Coturnix japonica: one gene and its partner. The protein of the gene in region 2 purifies or fractionates together with the protein of the main gene of each other region. This does not show direct contact. Links are inferred from orthologs where the notes say so. Each region holds a gene or a part of one and is shown on either strand. Other genes may lie near its edges.

Region 1 (3,259 bases), on a different chromosome or scaffold from region 2:
CAGGAGGGGCACCCACCGCCACTCCATGGTCCCAGAGCACGGTACTGGCTTGCCTGGGTGCCCAGGCAACAGGGGTTCCAAGGTGCGGCCCGGGTCACTTCCCGTTGGGATGGAGATACTCTGACACACAGCTTTTGGAGATGGAAAAGAGGCTCTTGCTCCCCTTTTTATCTCCTCAAATTCTTTGCCTTCAGTCTCTACTGATATTACCTGATGTTCCCAAACACCCTCTAACTTAACATTTAATTTCCGCCAGCCCCCAGTCTGCTATAAGCTATAAGCACCCTCAGTCCAGGCTCCTGGAGTCTCCAAATCCCAGCTGGTGAAATCCACACAAGGCTCCACTTTTGGTTTGGTGCCCAGCTGTATGCAAGGTACCTACATGACTTCTGAAGTGCTCGGTCTCCGTTATGGTAGGAATTGCTTCGCGTTTGGAGGTGGCGCTCATTGCGCAGCGTTGTTCCTGTTCCTCCCTGATCCCCCTCGGCCGCAGCGTATTACCACAGTTAGGAGGGACCAGGACTGCCGTGTGTTCCCTCTGCCCCTATCACCCACTGAAACATTCTGTACCTGAGATTAAATTAACCCGCACAACTCTGTTTCAGGTTGAAAACGGAGTGTTTGGGGAAGAAAAATGCATCTGTGTCTGTTTTGTGGGGGTCTGGAATGACAGCATCACGTAGTGACAGCGTAACCACTGTGGGGGCTCTACTGGGTCCGAGGGGATCGCAATTCTGGTGCTCATTTTGCATGGCTGGAGTCCATCACGATTTAGGGTACACAAGAGGTGCACAACACTTGGGGGTCCATCCCACAGGGCGGCCATCAGGAGCACAGAGCAGCGGCGGCATCACGCTCCACCTCGATGGACACGATGTGGTGCCCCGGCACCATGGCCAGGCCCAGCACACGTGGCTCGCTGCCTGGGAACGCATCTGCAGAGGACGGCAGCCCCGTGTCAGTCTCGCTGCCGCGTCTCCATCCCCACCGCTCCCCGAGATCCTGTTCCCATCACCCTGCTATCCCCGTCACCCTCCCTATCACCGCCCCCCCTTTCATCACCCCCCCGCCCCCATCAGCCACCGAGTCCCCCCGTCCCCGCGGCCCCATTTCCCACCGTGGCCCCGTACCTGCAGCCTTGAGGAACTCCTGCGCGGAGCCGAGGATGATGTTGGCGTCACGGTCGGTGCAGAGGAAGGTTCCCACCAGGGTGCGACCGTCCGACATGCGGACCCGCAGGCTGCGGTTCAGCAGCGCCGCCAGGCGCCGGGCGTGGGGCTGAGACCCCCCGGGAGGCTGCACAGGGAGGGGGGGTTGGACACGGCCCCGCAGCACCTGAGGCGCTTCACAACCCCGGACACCCCGTGAGCGGCGGCAGCACCTCACAGCACCCGGCAGCTCCCAGGGCTGCACACTGACACCCGTGTCCGCTCCGTGCCTCGCTGCCCCCTGGAGCACGGCCACAGCCACGGCCACAGCTCTGGGATCACATACAGGACCTGCACAGCTCCGATATCACATACAGGACCTGCACAGCTCTGGGATCACATACAGGACCTGCACAGCTCCGATATCACATACAGGACCTGCACAGCTCCGATATCACATACAGGACCTGCACAGACCCCCCATCTCACAGACCCCCCCTCCCCCCCTTCCCGCTCACCGCCGGTTCCGCCATGGCTCCGCACCGCTATCCGCCGGAAGTGCCGCGCTCCCGGCATGCCCCGCGTTGTTATGGAGATGGCGACGCTTTCCTGCGGCCTTGCCGTGCGGACGGCGCTGCTTTACGGCGGCGTTGCCGTGGCAACGGGCAGCCTAAAATGGAGTTGTAACGGGTCCCGGTTGTCTCTAAAGCCGCCGAGTCTGTAACGTGAGGGACATAAGGTGGGGCTGTGGGGGTGTAAACGGGGCGGGGAAGAGCTTAGGGAGCCTAAAATGAGAGGCAGAATTAATGACAGGATGAATCAGCAGCTCTATTCCTGATGTATGTTTTATGCTTACATGGGATTTCTACTGTTTACATCCACTATTTCTCAAGACAAGTTACAAAGTTGAACCCGCGTTTCTGCAGCTCGACAAGGTCAGAGATGAGGCCGTGGGGGGGTCACGGCTGCGGCCGTTGCAGTTTTCTCGTCATTTCCCATAATAAATCATTGACGCTCTTCTTGTCTTCTGCCTTTCCTCATTTTACACCGTTTCTTAGCATTATAAAAATGATTTGTTCAAAAGAAGTGAAAAGTAGTAAATTCAAACTGTTTCTCCCCAAAATAGGCCCAGGACTGAAAAGTTGTGAGATCAAGGGGAAAGACTGGGTGAAAACTGGGGAAATTCAGGGGAAAGCGATGGAAAGTTACGGGGAAGTTGGGGGAAATAAGGGACGAGTAGAAGAAATTTGGAGGAAAGACGTGGAAAATGTGGTGAATTAGGGAAAATCAGGGTAAAATGGGGGGGTACCTAGAGATAATAACAGGGAAATGGGGAAATTTGGGGAAAATGGGAGAAAATGGGGGAAAATGGGGAAATTTGGGGAAAAATGGGGAAAATTGGGGAAAATTAGGGGAAATAAGGTAATGAGTGGAAATTTGGGAGAATACGGGTTTTTTATTGTAAATTAGGAGAGTATCTGGGGGCAAATGGAAATTAAGTAAAAAAGGAAATTTGGAGGGGAAATGGGGAAATAAGAGCAAATGAGAGCAAAAGCAGATGGGAAAAGTGGGGAAATAGGGTAATGTTGGGAAAGCTTTGGGGATATAACTGAAAAGTGGGTAAATTGGTTGAAAATAAATATATATATATAGGGGAAATTAAGGAGAAATAAGGGAAAACGAAGAAATTAGAGGGAAAGGGGGGAAAATATGTGAAATTGGAAGGAAATTTGGAGAAGAACCAGGGAAATAAGGGAAAACCCAGTAAATTAGTGGGAAATGAAAGAAAACACAGGGAAATGGGGGGGGGGGGGAGTAGAAACAGGGGAAAAGAAGCAGAGAGGTGGGAATGCGAGGGGAGCCCGTGCGGCCATATAAGGGCAGCAGCTGCTGGGCATGGGGGAGGGGTCCTAAAAATAGCCCCGGAGTGGGGACACGGACAAGGACAAAGCCCGGCCCGTCCCACCTGTCCATTGTCCATCCGCGATCCTATTGTCTGCCGTCATCCGTCCCATCATAGCACGGAGGGGGAGGGGGGGGGAAGGTGGTCTGTGGGCTTTGCCCTTGTCCCTATGGGGTCCTATAGACAAAGTTCTATGGCATTCCGTAGA
Region 2 (3,751 bases):
AACCTCCTGTAATCAATCCTACTGTATTCCCTCTTCAGGACTGTAAGAGGCACATTTCTGAAAACTCTCCTATAAATCATATAAATCCCACTATAAATTACACCAGACCCTAAACTAAGAACGTTTAGTGAGTTGAAGGCCAGATGGATTCCATTAGCTTTACCTCCTGTACTCATATCCAATTAAAATCTTAAAGAGGTACCCCTGAATAAAAGGGTATCTTGGCTCTGGCTAAATCATATCTGTCAGTGTGTTGTCCTGCCTCGATTGAAGCATTAAGAAAAAAAGAATTCATCATTTACTTGAGTGAGGAAGCACCATATGCTCCCCAAAACGTTCTGTTTTACAGAGCAGCTTTCCAATGAGTAAATCAAACACAGCTAAGCCCACTTCTTGTGCATACGTACCCCTCAGGCCAGTTTCATATACCTGTGTGTGGACTGCTCTCATGCTTGTCAGCTGAGACACACGTTCCAAAACGATCTGGCTGTTCTCTTTCTAAATATTCAGCACTAAAAACAAACTAAACTAAAACAATCTTTGTGACAGCGCAATAGGAAGAATACAACAGTAAGGTTTATCATTAGTACTGTAAGACAACCTGAACAAAATGAGTATTTCTGTATGGTGCATACACTACCAAACCTGAAAAGTGATATAATTGTACTTGAAATTCTCAAGGTAAGCAAACAGATCAAAAAAGTCTACAAAACCTTCAGTAGTGCCCACGTCAACATGCATACACCAGTCATGCTCAAGTCAGTTTGAGAACCATTGTGCAAGAATTACTAAGCACTCACAAGACACCCGTGGACTAAGTACTTTCTTTTTTAAATCCAAACCTAGGAACTGAAGCAGAATGACAAAATGAGCTACCAAAGGTCACAGAAGTCAACGTCAACACCAAGATTAGAAGCCTTGAATTCCTGGATCCCAGCCCTGCGTTCAAACCCTTTCCCCACCATTGGAAAGGTATACTAGTGAATGTAAGAACTTCAGACATAAGCTTTGCTTATACAGGCTCAGGTGAGAAGGAGGATTCATTAGTGTTACATACTTTCCAAAACTCTTGGCCTTCCCTCTTAGCCATAAAAAGAATTTTAGAAGTATTTCCACATGTCAGCTCTTTAATCATGCCTCCACCCCAGCCTTAAACCACTCCCAATTCTTACCCTCTTCCCCCCCCCCCCCCAACCAGCACTTACCAAAAAGCAAAGTTGTGGCCAGTTGTGGATAAAATACCTATACGTGTAAATGGAGTAGGGTTCAGACAGATCTTTGGTGATCAGTCTCATGATATCGGGCATCTGCAGCTCTGATTCATATCGGACGTATCGTATCGTTAGGTCCTCCTCGGGCTGACAGTCCGTTCCCGAGCCTTTCAAACTGCAGCCTGCTGCTAAGGACCTAGAGAGCAGCAGCAGGGACTCCTCCTCCTCCCCACCTTCATCCCCCTCCTCCTGCTCTTCCTCCTCCAAGCCAGTCCCTCCTGCCAGCCCATTGCGGGCCGCAGTCTTAGCAGCAGTCGTAGTTGTGGCAGCAGGCTGGCTCCTGTCCCCTATTGCTGCTGCTGCTGCGGGAGAAGGAGGAGGAGAGGGTGCAGTCCTTCCCTGGGGAGGGAGGTGGTTGGAAAGGGGGGACGAGCACGGTGCTGAGGCCGGGGGCGACGGCTGCTGCTGCTGCTGCTGTCCGGAGCCCATTGTTTTGCTGGCTCGCTTGTTCTCCAGCCCCTCGGGGGCTGCCCCTGCCTCCGAGCCCAGGATCTTGCTCTTGAGTGAGGCCCGCAGGTGCCGCAGCTCGGGGCTGATGAGGCCGTTGAGCTGGTGGTTGTGGTGTGGGGGGTGATGGTGGTGGTGGTGGAGGCGGTGCTGCTGCTGCTGCGGCCCCCCCTTACCGCCGTCGCTGCTTCCTCCTCGCTGCTGCTCCCGTCCGCCCGCGGGTCCCTCCTCTTCCTCTTCCTCCTCCTCCTCCTCTTCGGCCTCCTCGTCCTGGGCCCCGGTGCAGGCGGCGGCGGCGGCGGCGGAGGTGGAACAGGAGGAGGAGGAAGCAGGCCCCCCTCCTCCTCCTCCAGGGAAGGGGGAAAGCGTGTCCCCCTGCGGGGAGAGGACGCTGCTAGGCCCCGGCGGTACCTCGGCCATATCCTACGGGAGAGACCGACACAAACCCACCGAGGAAGAAGGCGTCAGACCGGACGGGGGGAACAGGCCGAGGCAGCGGCCTACACTGAGCCAAGGCCGAGGGGGGGTGGGGGGGCCACGAACAAAGGCACACACGGTGCCCGGGCCCCGCCTCGCCGCCCCACCGCCGCCTCTTCCTGCCGTCCCGCTCCCCCCACCGCCGGGGTCCTTACCCGGTTCCTCACGGGCCCCTTGCGGCCGCCGAGCCCCCCCACCCACCGCCGCCTCGGCCGCTCACCCCGCGTCTCCTCAGCGCCGCGGCTCCCACTCCCCGCTCATCCAGCGGCCGCCAAGCGCGGCCGCCGCTGTCGTAACGCGAAGCCAAGTTTCCTGTCAGCTTTTACGACGCTTCCTCACTTGGCGACGGAGCTTAGCGACTGTAGGGCGGGCTTCACCAAGGGTCTGGGCGGGGCGTTGTAGGCCGCGATATGGTGGGGGCGGGTCGGTCTGAGATGTGATTGTGTGGCTGTTAATTAAAGCACCTTTTTGGATCCTCATTGCCTTATTTCCCATTCCAGCAGCCCTCACTTTTACTCTTTGCCCTGCCAGAGATTCTCACGGCAACAGAAAAGCCCTCCAAGTGGGAAGGTTTTGTTTAAAACACACACGAAGCCCCTCAAAAATGCTGAGAAAGGCTGGATTTTGGCTTTTCCTCACCAGGAAGCCTTGCAGGGCTGTTGGAAGGTTCATTCGTTCTCCTTTTGCTGCAGTTATTTCTCAAGGAAGTGACAGGCCCGGGTTTAAAAGGGAAATCCAGCCATTTTCTATGCATGTCCTAACAGGGTTCTGTAATTAGGGAGGAAACAGGCTGTGGAGTTTCAGTCTTCTCTTGGTGAACTGCAGATTAAAGATTTAGTGGTTTTTTTGTGTGTATGTGTGTGTTTTCAGGCTTCAAAGTATCCCCGTGGACCTGATGTGAGCTGTTCTGGCACACAGACGTTGCAGTGAGGTTCACTGTCCTCAAGTATTTTAAACAGCAAAAGCAAACAAATGCCAGTGTAGTAATGGCCTGAAATTCAGTTCTCCTTTGCCGTGTTACAGTGGCGAAAGCATCTGTGGTGTCCATGTTAGGGAGATGATCCAACAAAACCTGTGGGATGGGGTGACGAGGATCTAACTTGTCATGAAAACATACTGTCTGCACTGAGGTTACAGTACCATGGAAATAAAACCTCTTGTGTGTGCTCTCTTTGTCCCATTTACAGACTTGGAAGGTTCCTTGTTCTGATGTTGATCTTAACAGTTCATTGTCCACAGCCAGGATCTATCTGATGTTGATCTTAACAGTTCATTGTCCGCAGCCAGGATTCATCTGACTTGGATAGGGCAGCTGAGCTGAGCTCTGAGCTGGTGCCTTTGATTCCCCTTAAAGCTAACAGAGAGATGAAAGGTATCCTAAAACTGCTGTTATGTTCTTGGTCTGAATGCTTACTTGGCCTTTAAATTTGTTTTATTTCTCGTAACTATTATGATGACAATTGCTTTTAAAGTGAACTTTCTGAGCCGAAATTGTGTATTTCATTCCTCAGGTTTCCCTCACTGCTATTTGAATCTCCAGCAACCTGGAGCAGCCT

Evidence for each region. Proteins that work in one complex are often made in the same cells at the same time.
Region 1: the proteins of NAA30 (region 2) and NAA38 purify together in Homo sapiens (co-immunoprecipitation; 3 studies listed by BioGRID and IntAct, with this or other methods). This does not show direct contact. The link is inferred for Coturnix japonica from reciprocal best matches to the Homo sapiens genes NAA30 and NAA38.

What each region holds. Positions count from the first base shown.
Region 1 is NC_029534.1:46,717-49,975, reverse strand, and holds NAA38 (N-alpha-acetyltransferase 38, NatC auxiliary subunit), read right to left. Parts: upstream 1,772-3,259; 5' UTR 1,682-1,771; coding exon 1,667-1,681; intron 1,297-1,666; coding exon 1,131-1,296; intron 936-1,130; coding exon 826-935; 3' UTR 600-825; downstream 1-599. Other genes in the region: SPACA6 (sperm acrosome membrane-associated protein 6), read right to left, coding at 1-27.
Region 2 is NC_029520.1:50,473,215-50,476,965, forward strand, and holds the start of NAA30 (N-alpha-acetyltransferase 30), read right to left. Parts: upstream 2,551-3,751; 5' UTR 2,416-2,550; exon of another isoform or gene 2,351-2,415; intron 2,142-2,350; 5' UTR 2,139-2,141; coding exon 1,206-2,138; intron 1-1,205. UniProt on the Homo sapiens protein: Catalytic subunit of the N-terminal acetyltransferase C (NatC) complex. Catalyzes acetylation of the N-terminal methionine residues of peptides beginning with Met-Leu-Ala and Met-Leu-Gly.